Saccharomyces cerevisiae S288C: one gene and its partners. Changing the gene in region 4 together with the main gene of any one other region gives a genetic interaction. Each region holds a gene or a part of one and is shown on either strand. Other genes may lie near its edges.

Region 1 (4,347 bases), on a different chromosome or scaffold from region 4:
GAGATGATTTGACCTTTACCTTGAGATGCGTCTGTTCCCTCTTTTAGAACCACAATTGTAGGTGTTTGGCTTCCAAAGTTCATTTTTCCGAGTTGTATGTCTCGTGATTCAGGTACTACTTAATATTTGCGGCTAATTCTCTGTATTTGAAATCATTTCGACAATTTGGCATCTGCTAACGCTTAATAACAATTATTCATTTTTTTTTTTTTCAATAGCAAGGATGAAAAAGTCGCCACTTAAATATTAATCATTATTCACGAAAGTTTTCTTTTTCCGGGTAAGGATAATGCAGGTATGGTGATTGCTTCCAAGACATCTGTAGTAATATGACAGGGCAACATCTACAGCACCGATTTCGCTGATAAACCATCCAAGGTATTGACGATACTTTATTTACATTCCAGAACGAATATTTATTTATATATATCTGAGCGAGCAGCTATTCACATATGCACTCGATATTTATTTTTCTTCAAATGGGTTGACTTGATTGCAATGCAATGCCTATCATACGGCCCAAATATTTACGTCCCCATTTTCACGACCCTCAACCATGTAATTTTCTTTATACTTAACGGTACTAACGCTAGTCTCGTTACCTTGTTCGACGCAAGACCAGCTTTCATCCTTTTCGCTATCGTATATCTGGACACTTGGTTCGTCTGCGACAACGACTGCAGCGTTCTCTTGGAAGAGATCTAACGAAAGAACTGGCGCACTGTACGCATGAAACTTATTCAACAACCCAGTTCTTAAGTCCCAGATTCTAACTGTTCTGTCGTATGAACCTGTGACCAGGCACGCGGAATCAAATTTTAATGACGTTATGGCATCTGTATGCCCTTTCAAAGTACGAATCACCTTTCCGGATCTTAAATCCCATAGCCTTACAACACCATCTTTTGTACCCGTTGCTAGCGCTGCATCAAAACTTTGTAGTGCACCTATACTAGGCCTCTCATTTCTTTGAGTAAGAAGTGTGCTCTTTGATAAATCGACATTAGTGGATGTTGTTAAGACATTTGCAAAGCTCAGATCAATGGTTTGCAAGCACTTCCCGGAACGTAAGTCCCATTGCCTAATTGTTCTATCCTGTGAACCACTCACCAAGAAACTAGGATCTAATGATAATGCAGTAACCTCATCTGTATGCGCCTCAAATGTATGAACACATGGAGAATCAATATGATTTGTAGGAGAGGTAAGATTTTGCGTTTCCTGGTAAAGTTGTTGAGCTAAATTCAAATTCCATAATTTTAAAGCCGCATCTCTACCACCAGTAACAAGAGTTCCGTAGTCACGATTGATTTGCATACAATTAATTGTAGCAAGATGTCCTGCTAGTTCTCCAATTTTGTTTTGTTTGGATAAATCCCAAATTTTTACCGTGTGATCAAGATATCCGGCTGTACATAAGGTACCAAAGGGCGCATCAAAATCTAGGCAAGTGAGGAAATCATCGTGAGTGGACATTATAGAGCCAATTTTTGTTCCTGGCTCGTAAAGCTGCTGGAATGTTGGGAAGCTTTTTCTGTGTCTTTTTTTGGATTTGCTATAAAAGGCACCTAATCTATTCAATGAGTTATCGTCTCGAAGTTGTTGCCTTCTCCTTGGAGGTAGATTAGAAGCCTCTGATGATATGCTCTCTGTGGTGACACCCTCATTTCTTATAGCATCATTTTTAAGGGCCTTTCGCTCACTCATACCATCATCTTCTGCATTTTCGTCGCTATTAGCTTCGATCACCTCCAATCCGTACTCTTCTAAAAAGTCCAACCTATCATCAATCTGTTTGAGGTTGTCTTCCAATAGTAATTGATTTTGCTCTATGTTCGCAATTTTACCCAACAGTTTCTCTTTCTTTTGTCTCAGATTCTCAACTTCAACTTCAATGTCTCTTATTTCGGATAACGTAGAATTTTTCTGAATATTTAAAAACTCTAAACTATTTACAAGAGTTTGAGAAAAACTTTTTAATGCACTAGGAGAATAAGAGGAGCTTATTTTTTTAGTTTCTACCCCAGGCGGTATGAGAAATGAATCTTGGAAGTTAGGAAGCTCTGTGTGAATTTCATCTCGCTCATTTGTTTTAGACATAACATCTTTCGCACCAACCGTACCGCTTGTACCATTTGTATCATAGTTTAATCTTTCAGTGTTTTCAATGGCAAGCTCCGCTATTGGTAGGTAGCTTTTAAAGCCCTGAAACAGCGATGTTTCTTTTTTGGATGCGTTCTTCCTGAGATTTTCATTTTCGCCTCCTTCGGTTAGAAGCTTGCCATCTGCATCACTTTTGAGACCTTCCTTAGTTGGGATCTCGTTCAACAAATCATCACTTATGTACGTGAGCATTCTGAAGCATGTTTTGTTGTCTGTGAACTTGTTCCTGAATACATCGCCCCTTCTTGTCTTGGAGTAAATATCCTCAAAAGTGTTAGATGCATTTTTTACAAAGCGACCGTGTTCAGTCCTCTTGTAAAAGTATGAAGTTGAGCTCGCATTGTTGACGGTATTTGATAATAAATTCTTATAAGGCCCATTATTGGTCAGTACATCTTGAGTGTTGCTGTTCGATTTTTGGTAGTTTAAAAAAGCGGAAGCCGTTGTGGACAATGTTTTTCCTATATGAGTTATTTGGTCGTTCACTGACATTATTTGTCATTATTTGCTACTAATTGGAGCTCTACGAAGGGTTTATATGGTTGTACTTTCTGTAGAAAGTTAATTTCTTCTCTTGTTTACGCCGTCTTTCCTGAGAAAATCGATGTGAAAGTAGTTCCGCCTGTCAAAGTTGAGCGAATTCCTATCGGACGGAAAAGTCCGATGAGCGACCACATTAAACAGGGATACCAGGTCTGAGGAGGACTGTACAATGTAGGGGGAAAATACTCAAGTATGCACTCACTGTCAACTATTGGTTCCAAGTCGCTGGAAAGAAACTCATAGCTTCAAAATTTAATAAAAGATAATAGGATTACGTAGATGAGCCAAAAAAAATAAAAAAAAGGAAGTTCTGCAGCATGTTCAAGGACGGCTTGGTCGATTGTTTTTCTGTGTCGTAGAAATAGTCTGAATATATATCATCGGTATCTTATACCCTCATTCAAGGTGGAAATTGTACCAGAACAGTCATCAAGGGCCAAAAAAAATCTCCGCGACGGGGAATTGAACCCCGATCTGGCACGCGACAAGCGCCCATTCTGACCATTAAACTATCACGGATTTTTATGTTGTTTTGTGAGCGTGTTTAATGTATCCTTCACTATTTGAAAATATTTTCTCGACCTCAATACCAAATCAAATGACCTTTTACGGTCGTCAAAATGTGTTTCACCCTATAAAGTGAGCTTAAACACTTTAAACATCTCCTCTATCGGTTGTGCTGTACGGAAATAAAGATCAACTTATCAGGATAAATTTTAATAATTAGTATTTAAAACGTGTAATTCGGTTTCTGTATAACGCCAGTCACATTTCTCAAAAGATATATTACTATATGATGTAAACATTAGATTTATTAGAACTGGTAGCAATTAATATTTTAATCAATACTGATGTGAAATCTGAGATATGGGTGGATTTTGAAATAATTGTTGGAATCCTGTTGTTGATAGAGGGTATAATATTAGGTATACAGAATATACTAGAAGTTCTCCTCGAGGATATAGGAATCCTCAAAATGGAATCTATATTTCTACATACTAATATTACGATTATTCCTCATTCCGTTTTATATGTTTCATTATCCTATTACATTATCAATCCTTGCACTTCAGCTTCCTCTAACTTCGATGACAGCTTCTCATAACTTATGTCATCATCTTAACACCGTATATGATAATTGTTGGAATAAAAATCAACTATCATCTACTAACTAGTATTTACGTTACTAGTATATTATCATATACGGTGTTAGAAGATGACGCAAATGATGAGAAATAGTCATCTAAATTAGTGGAAGCTGAAACGCAAGGATTGATAATGTAATAGGATCAATGAATATTAACATATAAAATGATGATAATAATATTTATAGAATTGTGTAGAATTGCAGATTTCCTTTTATGGATTCCTAAATCCTGGAGGAGAACTTCTAGTATATCTACATACCTAATATTATTGCCTTATTAAAAATGGAATCCCAACAATTATCTCAAAATTCACCCAATCTTCAATAATATATTGATATGTTGATAATTAGAGGTTAAAAATTAGTATTAATGAAGAAGTGAGTACTGATCTTCTTATACTAAATAAGAGAGGTATATAAAACACACGCCGATTGGTCATATTAATTATGACCAATATAATAGTGATTCCGGTAGTTACTATACATTGATGTGA
Region 2 (3,681 bases), on a different chromosome or scaffold from region 4:
GTGTTGTAGAATGTTTGCGGCTGCTTTTCCTGTTTCTTTAGAGAACTATTACTTGCGGAGCTCGTCCACTGCGACTCCTGAACCAACTGTCGCAGGGGAGGCGTAGAGTTTTGTGATCGGATATTCTGGCGCTGCTGCTGCTGCTGCTGCTGCTTATGATGTTCTTGTTTCAGAACTAGCAATGAAATGGGCATATGATTACCGTCATGTTGCACGTTCGGTTGCACACTTGATTTCGATAGTATTTCTGAGAAACTGTTGGTGCTTTGTTGTTTTAAAGGGTGATGAGGTCGCCTGGTTGGAGACCAGGATATAGAGCTTAGGGACTGCCCCGGGGGGTGTTGTTGTTGCTGCTTCTGATCCTGATATATTACCAGGCCCCTTCTCTTGTGACTCATTTGCTTACACTGTGGCGACTTTTTCCACTTCTTTGTTTATTTGTATTACCGCTTCCTTTTCCTTTTTTCATCTGATTATATGCTTATATATTGTAGACGCAAGTAAAAAAGAACGAAAATAGAAGTCATAATGCTTGTCATACACATTTATATGTTTAATTAATATTATCTACGTAGTCTATCTCTTGAAAAAGAAGTCTGGTTCCGGTGCGACTGGTTTTGATGGCTTAGTAAATAGTTGATATTGTTACCTGACGGCGGAACGCCTGGGGGAGGCATTGACGTGGACGTTGGGAATCGTGTTGAAGTCTGTTCTCGACCGGGCGATCCTGCGTTAGCCTGTTCTATACTCTCTTCCTCCTTTTCTTCAAAGACTGGAAGATCAGTGCCGTTTTGAATGTTGACCCAGGGAAAGAAGCCTGTGCCGAACCAGAAATGTTGCACCACGGGGAACTTCTTCAGAACCTCTACAGAATACATTTTTAGAAGCCCCTTACACACTTTGGACCAGCGTGGAACGGTGACGGCAATATCGTATAGGATGGGGGAATGCTCTTCAAAGGGCCCCATTTTCACCTCATTAATAAAGTTTATGCCTTGGCAGTAGAAGTTGGTGTCCTTATACTCGCGCACCAGAGACTTATCCAGTATTTCTCTTGGTTGCAAGGGTGCTTGCGCATCAAGCAGCTGCCATTGAGACGAGCCCAAGATGTACACCAAGTGGAAATGGTCATCAAGCCCCCACACGCCATGTGACCCAGCGGGCTCCAGCGTATACGTCAGGATCAGCCTCCTCATGATCGTGTAGTACTTGTTGAACAGCAGAAAAACGTCTGCCCCCCTCATGTGCGGAAACATCCCCAGCATGTCCAGTGCTGCGACCGTGGCCATGAACGAAAGTTCGTGGCCCGTGCCGTAGTCCAATCTTGTCGACGAACCAAAGCTGTTGCCCAGGTAATACTGCAATTCAGGCACCACCTCATGGTATTCCGAGGGAAGCATTTCCTGCAGCCACTGAGGCAAACGTTCATCCAGCTTGTGATGCCACTCGCGGCATGCTAGGTTACCATACCTTCTAGGACCTGGAAGAGGCGGTGTCTCGTCGATCAGGTGTGCCAGCTTGTCCAACACTCCCATCAGCCCGTTAACCATGGCGATCGACGACGCAGTAGCGTGCGGGTCGGGGTCAGAACAGTGCGATATCAACGTAGTGTACTTGTGAAGATGATACTTGATTCTGTGAATGGCTAGTGACGATTGGAAGTCCAGCGTTGTCTGCGTATCGAAGATACGCTTCACCGGCGTAGAGAAGGTGGCGTGCGGCCAATCTACACGATCCAGAGACATTTCTTTGCTCGTTTAATGCTTGTTCATATGTGCGTTCTTTTGCACTTTGCACTTTCTTCCTATTTTATCTTTTTAAGAAAGCTTTAAAGGTCCGGAAAAAAGGCTTGATCAAACACAAGAGACTATGGAAAGGGTGAGTACCAAAAGAACCAACAAGAGAAACAACCAAGTACGCAATGCAGAAGAGCATATTGCTGACTAAACCTGACGGAACACAATCGAATCTACACAGCATCAAAACGGAAACGCCCACCACGGTGGAGTTCGACTCGGAGCAGATGGAAAGGGGCCACAGGGAAAGAGGTCGTAGCAAGAAGAAAAGAGGCGAACGAGACTCAAACGTGAGCAGTCTGTCGCGGTCGAGAAGCAGGGCCAGTAGCCGCAGCAGAGTAAGGGAGGAAGAGTTCCTCAAGTGGACCGTGTTGAGGCAGGACCCCTCGATGCGGTTGAGGGTCGTGGATGTGGATTCTGAAGAGGAAGGTGAGGGCAACGACGAAGATGACGACGACGGCGACGGCGACGATATGGACGAGGAAGAGTCCGATGAAGAGCAAGTGAGCGATATAGAGAACGATTTAGAGATTGACGAGGAGTTCCACTACGATCTGGGCATGAAAGTGTTACCCAACTTTTGTACCAGCATAAACGAAGTGCTAGACTCCAGCAAGCCCTGGATAGCCAAGTACGAGATCAGCATCCGTGGCCACGAAAACGAAGACGTGTCTCTGGAGCAACTCGACGGAGGCTACGTCAGAGCCATGCAACTACTCACCAAGGGTGCCGGCGCAGAGGCCGGGAACCAAAGGTCCTTCATCCTCTACACGGACCTGAGCAGCGAGTCCACCTACGCCCTGACCTATCTCATGGGCGCAGCTGTCAACCAGGGAGACACCGTCTACATTGTCCACTGGGAGCCCTCGAAGCCCACGGACGACTCCCAGATGTTCGCCAACGTTGCCAGAATCAGAAAGCACGTCATGCACCTGTTTGACTGCGTCGCGGGCGTGCTCGACGACCTCGACGTCGTCGTCCTCTCCTTGACCCATCCGTACCCAAAACACCTCCTCAACGAGATGATCCACGGCCTCAAGCCAGTCGCCCTGTGCTGCTCCCTCTCGGTCATCCTGTCCACTCTGCAGAACTTCGTCTGCTCTGTGCCCATCCTCGCGGTTAGAAAGAAGCTGAAACGTGCCAAGCGCAAGGGCATCAGCGAGTGACCAATAATCACTGCACTAATTCCTTTTTAGCAACACATACTTATATACAGCAACAGACCTTATGTCTTTTCTCTGCTCCGATACGTTATCCACCCAACTTTATTTCAGTTTTGGCAGGGGAAATTTCACAACCCCGCACGCTAAAAATCGTATTTAAACTTAAAAGAGAACAGCCACAAATAGGGAACTTTGGTCTAAAGCAAGGACTCTCCCTCCCTTATCTTGACCGTGCTATTGCCATCACTGCTACAAGACTAAATACGTACTAATATATGTTTTCGGTAACGAGAAGAAGAGCTGCCGGTGCAGCTGCTGCCATGGCCACAGCCACGGGGACGCTGTACTGGATGACTAGCCAAGGTGATAGGCCGTTAGTGCACAATGACCCGAGCTACATGGTGCAATTCCCCACCGCCGCTCCACCGCAGGTCTCTAGACGAGACCTGCTGGACCGTCTGGCCAAGACGCATCAATTCGACGTGTTGATCATCGGTGGCGGGGCCACGGGGACAGGATGTGCCCTAGATGCTGCGACCAGGGGACTCAATGTGGCCCTTGTTGAAAAGGGGGATTTTGCCTCGGGAACGTCGTCCAAATCTACCAAGATGATTCACGGTGGGGTGCGGTACTTAGAGAAGGCCTTCTGGGAGTTCTCCAAGGCACAACTGGATCTGGTCATCGAGGCACTCAACGAGCGTAAACATCTTATCAACACTGCC
Region 3 (5,458 bases), on a different chromosome or scaffold from region 4:
AAATTGATCAAACAATTCGGTACTAAGCCGGTCAACGAAGAAACCCTGAAGAGATTCAAGCAAGTGACGGGTCGTGAACCACATCATTTTTTGCGTAAGGGATTGTTTTTCAGTGAGCGTGACTTCACTAAAATATTAGACCTTTACGAACAAGGCAAACCATTTTTCCTATACACTGGTAGAGGTCCTTCGAGCGATTCTATGCACTTGGGTCATATGATCCCTTTTGTCTTCACCAAATGGTTACAGGAAGTGTTTGACGTACCATTAGTCATAGAGTTGACAGATGACGAAAAATTTTTATTCAAACACAAGTTGACCATCAATGACGTTAAGAATTTTGCCCGTGAAAATGCCAAGGATATCATTGCTGTTGGCTTTGATCCAAAGAACACCTTTATCTTTTCTGATTTGCAATACATGGGTGGTGCATTTTACGAAACTGTAGTAAGAGTTTCCAGACAAATTACAGGATCCACTGCAAAGGCTGTTTTCGGGTTTAATGACTCCGACTGTATTGGTAAGTTCCATTTTGCCTCCATTCAAATTGCTACCGCATTCCCAAGCTCATTTCCTAATGTGTTAGGCTTGCCTGATAAGACACCATGTTTGATTCCATGTGCAATTGACCAAGATCCATATTTCAGAGTTTGTAGGGATGTCGCGGATAAATTGAAGTACTCCAAACCTGCTTTGCTTCATTCCAGATTCTTTCCAGCTTTGCAAGGTTCCACGACCAAAATGTCAGCCTCTGATGATACCACTGCCATTTTCATGACCGATACACCAAAGCAAATTCAAAAGAAAATTAACAAGTACGCATTCAGCGGTGGTCAAGTGTCCGCCGACCTACATAGAGAATTAGGTGGTAATCCCGATGTCGATGTTGCATACCAATACTTGTCATTTTTCAAGGATGACGATGTTTTCTTGAAGGAATGCTATGACAAATATAAGTCCGGTGAATTACTATCAGGTGAAATGAAGAAACTGTGTATCGAGACTCTGCAAGAATTCGTTAAGGCGTTCCAGGAACGCAGAGCTCAGGTGGACGAAGAGACCTTGGACAAATTCATGGTCCCACATAAGTTGGTTTGGGGCGAAAAGGAAAGACTTGTCGCACCTAAGCCAAAAACTAAGCAAGAAAAGAAGTAAGTAGTCACGCTTATTCTGACGCTATTATATACAATGATATAGAATCCGAAATTGTAGTTTAACACTAAAAAAATAATGCAATAGAACAATAGTGTTGCGATGTCTCCTGACCTCACTATTTCTATAGATTGGTATGAAAAATTTTTTTTTCAAATATATGGGAAAAATTTTTCACGGCATATAAAAGACTACCATCTTTCTGCATCAGTGTGCCAGACCCATTCTCACACCAAGAAGCGAGGAAGCTAACAGGCCAGTACTTGCAGGTTAGGTTTTCGTGCTCAGATGAGCAGATCATGGACTGCATTGTGCTGTTGTTGCACAGTAAATTTTGTATACCATACTTTATGATGATATTCTTTACGAACTTTTAGACGTTAGACTTCTGAAGGAGATTAGACCCTCCTATGGAAGAGAAACTCGTTAAACTTATCTGAGTAGGTATGTGTATATGCGTCTCTTGTATTATACAAATGTTCTTATTTCTTGTCCTGCATTTTTCCGAGTATTGGTAAATTCATGTAAATTTTTCATCCCATAGATCGTAATTTTGAAGTAGTGGCAAAAGATTTTAACAGAGCGTAAGATATAGTGAGAGAAACTACTCGCTGAAAAGTTGAAAGTGACCCAAAAAACGGCACGAAGACCAATTATACGCACTTTCAACACAGTTCGTCGAATCTTCACAATGGGGTTCAAGAAGCTCGTATCATTCCAACCGGATTATGTCCCACAATACCATATAACTAAATATATCTCGGAACGAACTAAACTGCAACTGGTACATATAAACCACAAAACCTCCCCATTGGTTCACGGTTACTTTGCTGTTCCTACAGAATGTCTTAATGATTCAGGTGCTCCGCATACCTTGGAGCATTTGATCTTCATGGGTTCTAAATCTTACCCATACAAAGGTTTATTAGACACAGCTGGTAATCTGTCTTTGTCTAACACCAATGCTTGGACTGATACCGACCAAACTGTTTATACATTAAGCAGTGCTGGCTGGAAGGGATTCTCAAAGTTGCTACCTGCTTATCTAGATCACATCCTACATCCAACTTTAACAGACGAGGCTTGTTTAACTGAGGTTTATCACATCGACCCGGAAAATTTGGGTGATAAAGGTGTGGTATTTAGTGAAATGGAAGCCATTGAAACTCAGGGCTGGTACATTTCAGGGTTAGAAAAGCAGCGATTAATGTTTCCTGAAGGAAGTGGCTATCGGTCAGAAACTGGTGGGCTAACGAAAAATTTAAGAACCTTAACCAACGACGAAATCAGACAATTTCACAAATCTCTGTATTCTTCTGATAATCTTTGTGTCATTGTTTGTGGTAACGTACCAACAGATGAACTGTTAACCGTCATGGAAGAATGGGATAACAAATTGCCGGAGATTCCATCGAATATACCAAAGAAAAGACCATTTTTGGACAACAAGCTTTCGCACATACCGCAATCTAGAGATAAAGTTACGGAATCTACTGTAGAATTTCCTGAACTTGATGAAAGTCAGGGTGAATTACTCTTTTCTTGGATTGGTGTTCCCTACTCAGATTTTCGTAATGACCTAGCGGTTGATGTGCTATTAGATTACTTTACTGACTCTGCATTGGCAGTGTTTACAAGAGAACTGGTTGAAATTGACGATCCCATGGCAAATTCCACTGATTGTTGCACTGATTATTTCATGAGAACCATAATTGATCTTCGTATCCAAGGTGTCCCAACAGAAAAAATAGCAGCAACAAAGACCAAGGTACTGGAGATTTTGAAAACCCATACCATTGATTTATCAAGAGTTAGACAGGTAGTTGAAAATACTAAATGGGAATATTTGCTGAACTATGAAAAAAATGGCGAGAGTCGTTTTTCTAGTGCTGTGATTACCGACTATATTTATGGTAATGAAGATGGTTCTTCATTAGTGTCTTCTCTCAAGGATTTAAGTGATTTTGATGCTTTATTACAATGGTCCCAAAAGGACTGGCAATCTTTGCTGAACAGAATATTCGTAGACAACAAACCTATCATAGTTACCGCTAAACCAAGCGCTTTGATGTATGAACAACTAGAGAAAGAAAAATCGGATTTGATCAAACAAAGAGAAGCTGAATTTGATGATGAAAAGAAACTGGTTTTATTGAAAAGATTGAACAATGCAAAAAATATTAATGATAGGCCAATTCCGAAATCTCTACTACAGAAATTTGAGATTGATAATCCTTCAAAGAGTGTTGAATTTGTCAACACGAAAAGCATTGCAACTGTCGATTCGTATAAATACAATAATGTTAGTGATCCGCTGACCAAAAAAATTTTAGAAACGAGGCCAGACAATTTTCCTCTTTTCATTCACTTAAATCATTTCCCGTCTCAATTTATAGAGCTGCATTTTTTGGTCAACTCCGCATCTATTAAGGATACCTCGCTTTTACCATATTTTAATATGTTTGACGAGCTATTTTCCATGCCAATGAAAATCCTTGATGAGGAGAGTAATGTAGAAACTATGCTCTCGTTTGAGGAAGTTGTCGCCAAGTTAAAATCAGAAACTATTGACGCACAGATCAACCAAGGTTTGAAGGGTTCTTGTCCTGACCTTATTAATTTTAAAATTCAATGTAGAGCTGGGGGTTACTCTAACTCTGTTCAATGGATCAAGCACTGCCTATTTGACATGGTTTTTGATGAAAATCGTGTTCGTATTCTGCTGGAGAATTATTTGAATTCTATTGTAGAATGGAAAAGAAATGGTAATGTTATGTTAAGTTCTTTAACTAACAGAAATCTCTATTCGGCAAGATCGCTGAAAAAATCCACCGATCCATTATTTGTTGAAGCAAAATTACAAGAGATTTTTGCAGAAATTGAGAATGGCAACTTTGAGAAAGAAATTTTGCCAAGAATAGAAACAATGAGAAAGCAACTGAGAGCAAATTTCAACAAGTTTCATATTTTGGTTCTTGGTGACATCTCAAAGATCGATGACGTTTATGAACCATGGAATCCCTTAATTAAGTGCTTGAACATTGCACATCCAGTTGAGAAGTTAAAAATTCCACCAGTTCCAAGAGCCCTAGATACCATTTCATCGATTTGCAGAACACCTGGTGAAAAGGCCTTTATAATAACTACTCCCGCCTCAGAATCTGCTTATATGAATCTAATAACGTCTATCCCATTTAACTTGGACTACCATGATCCCGAATACGCTATTGTCTCATTGGCTTCCGAATATCTAGAATGTGTTGAAGGTCCATTTTGGAAGGGAATCCGTGGTGCCGGATTGGCCTATGGTGCCAGCATGTTAAAATTATGTGAGATAAATTCTTGGGGATTCAATATTTACCGCGGCGCTGATATTATTAAATGTTATGAAGTTGGAAAACAGATTGTTCAAGATTATGCATCAGGTGCCTTGGAATTTGATGAGCAGTTAATCCAAGGTGCCATCAGTAGTATTATTAACAGGCTGGCTACTATCGAATGCGGATACTTTGAAACAGCCCTGTCCAAATATGTTGATGAATTCTGTTTGCAAAGGGGGAACAACTTCAATGAATTGTATTTGGAAAGGTTGCAGAATGTTACCAAAACAGATCTGAAAAATGCCATGCAGAAATATTTTGTCAACATGTTTGATTCCAATAAAAGCGTTGCCTTTGTGAGCTGTCATCCAGCTAAATTGGAATCAGTTCAAGAATTCTTTGAAACTCAAGGTTTCACTGTCGAAATAGAAGAGCTAGAAGATGACGATGACGAAATTGATAGTGAAGAAGACGAAAATGCGTGAGTACATGACCTCCATTTCAGCTTCACTTTCAACACAGAAACAGTGCGTATTATCTGCATTCAATAAATAGCAAAAGGAGCATTGTCTCATTCTTTTCGAATTCTGGGATTCTGCCTTACGGCGCTCTTTCATTTGATTGATCGAGAATTATTATTATATTTATATGAGTACTTGAAATTCCTCATATATTTATTTTTAGAGTATTTAAGTAGCTTGATGAAAACATTAGATAAAATTACTAATTACGACCTCTTCGATTTTGCAGATGAGTTTTTGAAATTTGTTCCTGTGTTTAGACCTAATCCCACGGTAACTTGTCTTTTTGGCAATCCGTTAACTAATTTACTGGTTAACGGTACTGGAGCAGCGTGTTTTTTTGAATTTTGTTCCTTGGCATTGATAAAGGTTTCAAAAATTCTGCTTGATCTGTTGCTCTTAGCGCTATTAATCGATTCAGAAAACGAATTGTGCTTTGAAATTGATGGAGATTGGCTATGCGTC
Region 4 (3,524 bases):
AGATTTAACTTCCTCTAATTTCGCGGATTCGGCAGATTATGAAATCCTGTATGAGATTAGAGCCCTATATACTCCATTTCTACTGATGGAATTGCATAAAAAGTTAGTGGAAGCCGCAAAGTTGTTAAAGATCCCAAAATTTATTTCGGAAGCCCTGGCATTTACCTCATTGGTCGCTAATGAGAACGACAAGATTTATTTATTATTCCAATCTAGTGGAAAGTTAAAAGAGTATCTGGATCTCGTTGCTCGCACAGCAACCCTTTCGAACTGATCAATTAATGTATTGCAGAATAAGTTTATATTTTAAGTAAACAGCAATAATTTTATGCATTTCTTCTATCTATTTCAGAAGTAATTGACGTGATTTTTTATAGTTTTGCTTTGAATCTTTGTGTTTCCACACCGGAGAAAAAAAAGTTCATGAAGTGAAAAAGCGGTTAAACATGAATTTTCTACTATCTAAAGATAAAATTACAGATGCAGTTACTTACATACATTGAACAGTTTCTGACGGCAAATTTAGCTTCTATTAATTTTTTTCTGTAGCTGATGAAAAATTCTGTCCCTATGATGCGCCAATGGGTCATCAACATCCGTCGGAAAAAATTCATTTCTAGGGTATTCAATATCATCTCCTTCATCAGAATCATCTTCGTTATCACTTATCTCTATTTCACCTTCTTGGCCATCCAAGTCAATGAAATTCGAGGAATTTATGGATTTCAAGACATCACTTTTTCCTCCAAGCCTGTTAAAAAGATCCCCGTACTCTTCCTCCACATCGTGGTACCCATTAGATCCCTGAATTTTATCGTCATTCCAAGAGGAAAACCTGCTCTTATTAACCCCTATAACAATCTCTTCACCCAATGCAGCTATATCCTCTCCTTCGCTACCAAATAGAATAGATCTATCATCATCTTCATCCTCCGGATAATCATTTTGGTAATAGTTTTCGTCATTAGAATCCTCATCGTCTGAACGGGCTTCATTGGGATCACTTTCTTCATCAAGAGCCAAATCTATATGCTCAATAATTTTCACAAACCCTATATTTTTCTCGTTGTTATATCTAGCAACCTCATCGTCATGAATTTTCTCCAAATGGTAGATGTCAAAAACGTAATCTAAACTGGGTAGTGATGCAATTTTTGCAGAATCCCCAGTAAAATATTTCCTACTTGGTTTTTTTCTTTCTGTCTTTTCTACACCTTTATTCAACTTTAAATAGTCATTCACCATTTGATTGATCTCTGGCGGTAACCCATCGTCATCTACAGTACTTCCTTCTGCTGCAAGCCGCTGTTGTGATTTTTCATCATCTGAGTCTCTACGACTTTTTTTTCTTTGTTCCAATACAAAATGTCGATGATCTTCATGAGCCAGTTTTAAGAGTGGCGTAGAAGACTCTTGCTCGGATTGATAGCTTTCAGAGCTCACAGTCTTTGATAATTTAAATATGAACTTCTGCTTCTTCACTCTTTTCCCCTCATCAATTACTGAATTGTCCCAGATGAACTTAGTTAGTCAAACGCATTTTTGTTATATCGGTAGAATAACAACACATACATAATGCCTGCACAGAATCCTCATCCCTTCTTCTCTTTACTCTGATAAACTCAGGTGCCGTTGTGGTACTAATAGTGCTCATTCCCGAAATCTTGTATGCCTACCTCAACAAAAGCTATACCTCAGAGAGCAGTTTTATATACCATCTCTTGTTCTCATCAATAACTTGTCTTGAGCATTACACAATTTAAATCCCCTGTGCCGACACAAACAAGAGATAACCCGGAATCAATATTATCTGATTGGGCTCCTAAATATCGCATCTGTGGACTTGAATCCACATGCTGCGAACTTATTTGAAGCAACAATTACTTCTGTTGGAAGCGTGGTAGTGCCAAATCAGACTTGCTCTTTAGTTTTCTTATGTTAACGCTTTACTGCCTTTTTCTTCTATATTTTTGAACGTCAATATGTAGCGGGCGTCAGCAGAGGAACAGAATTTGTGACACTTCTTGAATGAACATTTCTCATATCTGAAACCGCATCATCAAAAGGACACCTCAATAGAGATTCAGTGACATATTTAACATAGTTTTATGGGTAAGAAATATTATTAATTATGGTACGCAAGAATAAAATAAATAGAGCGAGTGGAACTACAAAACACCTCAAGGATTTTCCATCAGTCATCCTAAGTCTGCCCAGCTACAACCCTTCCATCCTTTCTAAAAATGCAACTGCACTAATAACCGGTGGTTCTAGTGGACTCGGATTTGAACTTGCAAAGGAACTTTCCAGAAGAATTAATAAAGTTATTGTGGCAGATATTCAATCATTTCCTACTTTTGCTCAGGTAGAATATAATAACATTTTCTACTATCAATGCGACATAACAAGTCTAGATGAAATTAAAAATTTGAAAAAAGCTATTGAAAGAGATCATGGCAACATTAATATAATTATAAATAATGCTGGTGTTGCTCACATCAAAAAGTTAGAACATATGACAAACAAGGAGGTAGAACAATTGATCGACATAAACTTAATAGGTGCTTACCGAATCATCAGTACATTTGCAGAAGATATGATAGACAATAGGGAAGGCTTTATAATTAACATTGCTTCAGTCCTCGGAGAACTGACTCCTGCAAGGCTGACATCGTATGGTGCATCAAAAGGAGCAATGATTGGTTTTCACAAGTGTATGAGCAGGCATTTCAGAAGTTTGTCCACGGAATGTAATAAAACTGGAATAAAAACACTACTGGTGTGCCCGGGAAAAATCAAAACTAATATGTTTATTGATGTCCCTACACCATCTAAGTTATTGGCTCCTGACATCATACCTTCCCAACTGGCACTAGCGATAATCTCTGCGATGGAGCATAATCATCTGCAAACACTAAATGCCCCATATTATGTGAACCTAGTTCCCTTTTTCAAAACTTTGAGTTGGCCATATAGGCATCTCTTAAAACATTTCAGTGGAATGGACCATGTAACGTCAACCAGCCCGCGAGCAATAAATCCGAAGAGAAGTGCATAATATTTTAGTCTATTTAATACATTTGACGTTATTTGATCTTCACGTTGTTTATATATATATATATCAAGTATGCTATAACGCTAAAAAAAAATGCTCATAATACTATGCAAAATCTTGATGTCTTTTGACTTCTTTCCAAATTTCTAAATTTTGACGGGCATAATTTCTCATATATCTGGAATAATGCTTTAAAATTTCTGATAAATCTACTTCCCTTTCTTTAGAAAATTTAGGTAGCTGGTCATTTTTGATGACTTTTGAAATGACCTCCAAATCATTCTCAGTAACTTCCAATGATTCAGACAGTTGTTCAATTTCTTTCTTCAAATTGATACTTGCGGTATGCGGATCTGTTTCTTGATACTTCACAGAATCTTTTACCATTGATGCCAATTTGTTAAATCCATTGAATAGTTTGCCACCATATGATTTCCCACCGCTACCTGTATTATTATTAGGGCGTTCC

What was found.
Region 1: mutations in IWR1 (region 4) and MDV1 together harm fitness more than expected from each alone (negative genetic interaction), as found in Saccharomyces cerevisiae (2 studies listed by BioGRID).
Region 2: mutations in IWR1 (region 4) and RRD1 together harm fitness more than expected from each alone (negative genetic interaction), as found in Saccharomyces cerevisiae (2 studies listed by BioGRID).
Region 3: mutations in IWR1 (region 4) and SDD3 together harm fitness more than expected from each alone (negative genetic interaction), as found in Saccharomyces cerevisiae (2 studies listed by BioGRID).

What each region holds. Positions count from the first base shown.
Region 1 is NC_001142.9:203,613-207,959, reverse strand, and holds MDV1 (Mdv1p), read right to left. Parts: upstream 2,656-4,347; coding exon 511-2,655; downstream 1-510. Other genes in the region: chaperonin-containing T-complex subunit CCT7, read right to left, coding at 1-83. UniProt on the Saccharomyces cerevisiae protein: Involved in mitochondrial fission. Has a partially redundant function to CAF4 in acting as an adapter protein, binding to FIS1 on the mitochondrial outer membrane and recruiting the dynamin-like GTPase DNM1 to form mitochondrial fission complexes.
Region 2 is NC_001141.2:53,262-56,942, reverse strand, and holds RRD1 (peptidylprolyl isomerase RRD1), read right to left. Parts: upstream 1,746-3,681; coding exon 564-1,745; downstream 1-563. Other genes in the region: VPR1 (Vpr1p), read right to left, coding at 1-398; IMP21 (Imp21p), read left to right, coding at 1,922-2,962; GUT2 (glycerol-3-phosphate dehydrogenase), read left to right, coding at 3,235-3,681. UniProt on the Saccharomyces cerevisiae protein: PPIases accelerate the folding of proteins. It catalyzes the cis-trans isomerization of proline imidic peptide bonds in oligopeptides.
Region 3 is NC_001147.6:132,224-137,681, reverse strand, and holds SDD3 (Sdd3p), read left to right. Parts: upstream 1-1,843; coding exon 1,844-4,957; downstream 4,958-5,458. Other genes in the region: tryptophan--tRNA ligase WRS1, read left to right, coding at 1-1,155; YOL097W-A (uncharacterized protein), read right to left, coding at 1,277-1,462; serine/threonine protein kinase PKH2, read right to left, coding at 5,200-5,458.
Region 4 is NC_001136.10:253,473-256,996, forward strand, and holds IWR1 (Iwr1p), read right to left. Parts: upstream 1,655-3,524; coding exon 1,573-1,654; intron 1,503-1,572; coding exon 523-1,502; downstream 1-522. Other genes in the region: NUP84 (Nup84p), read left to right, coding at 1-274; YDL114W (short-chain dehydrogenase/reductase), read left to right, coding at 2,132-3,058; ATG20 (Atg20p), read right to left, coding at 3,161-3,524. UniProt on the Saccharomyces cerevisiae protein: Directs RNA polymerase II nuclear import. Binds RNA polymerase II in the active center cleft between the two largest subunits in the cytoplasm.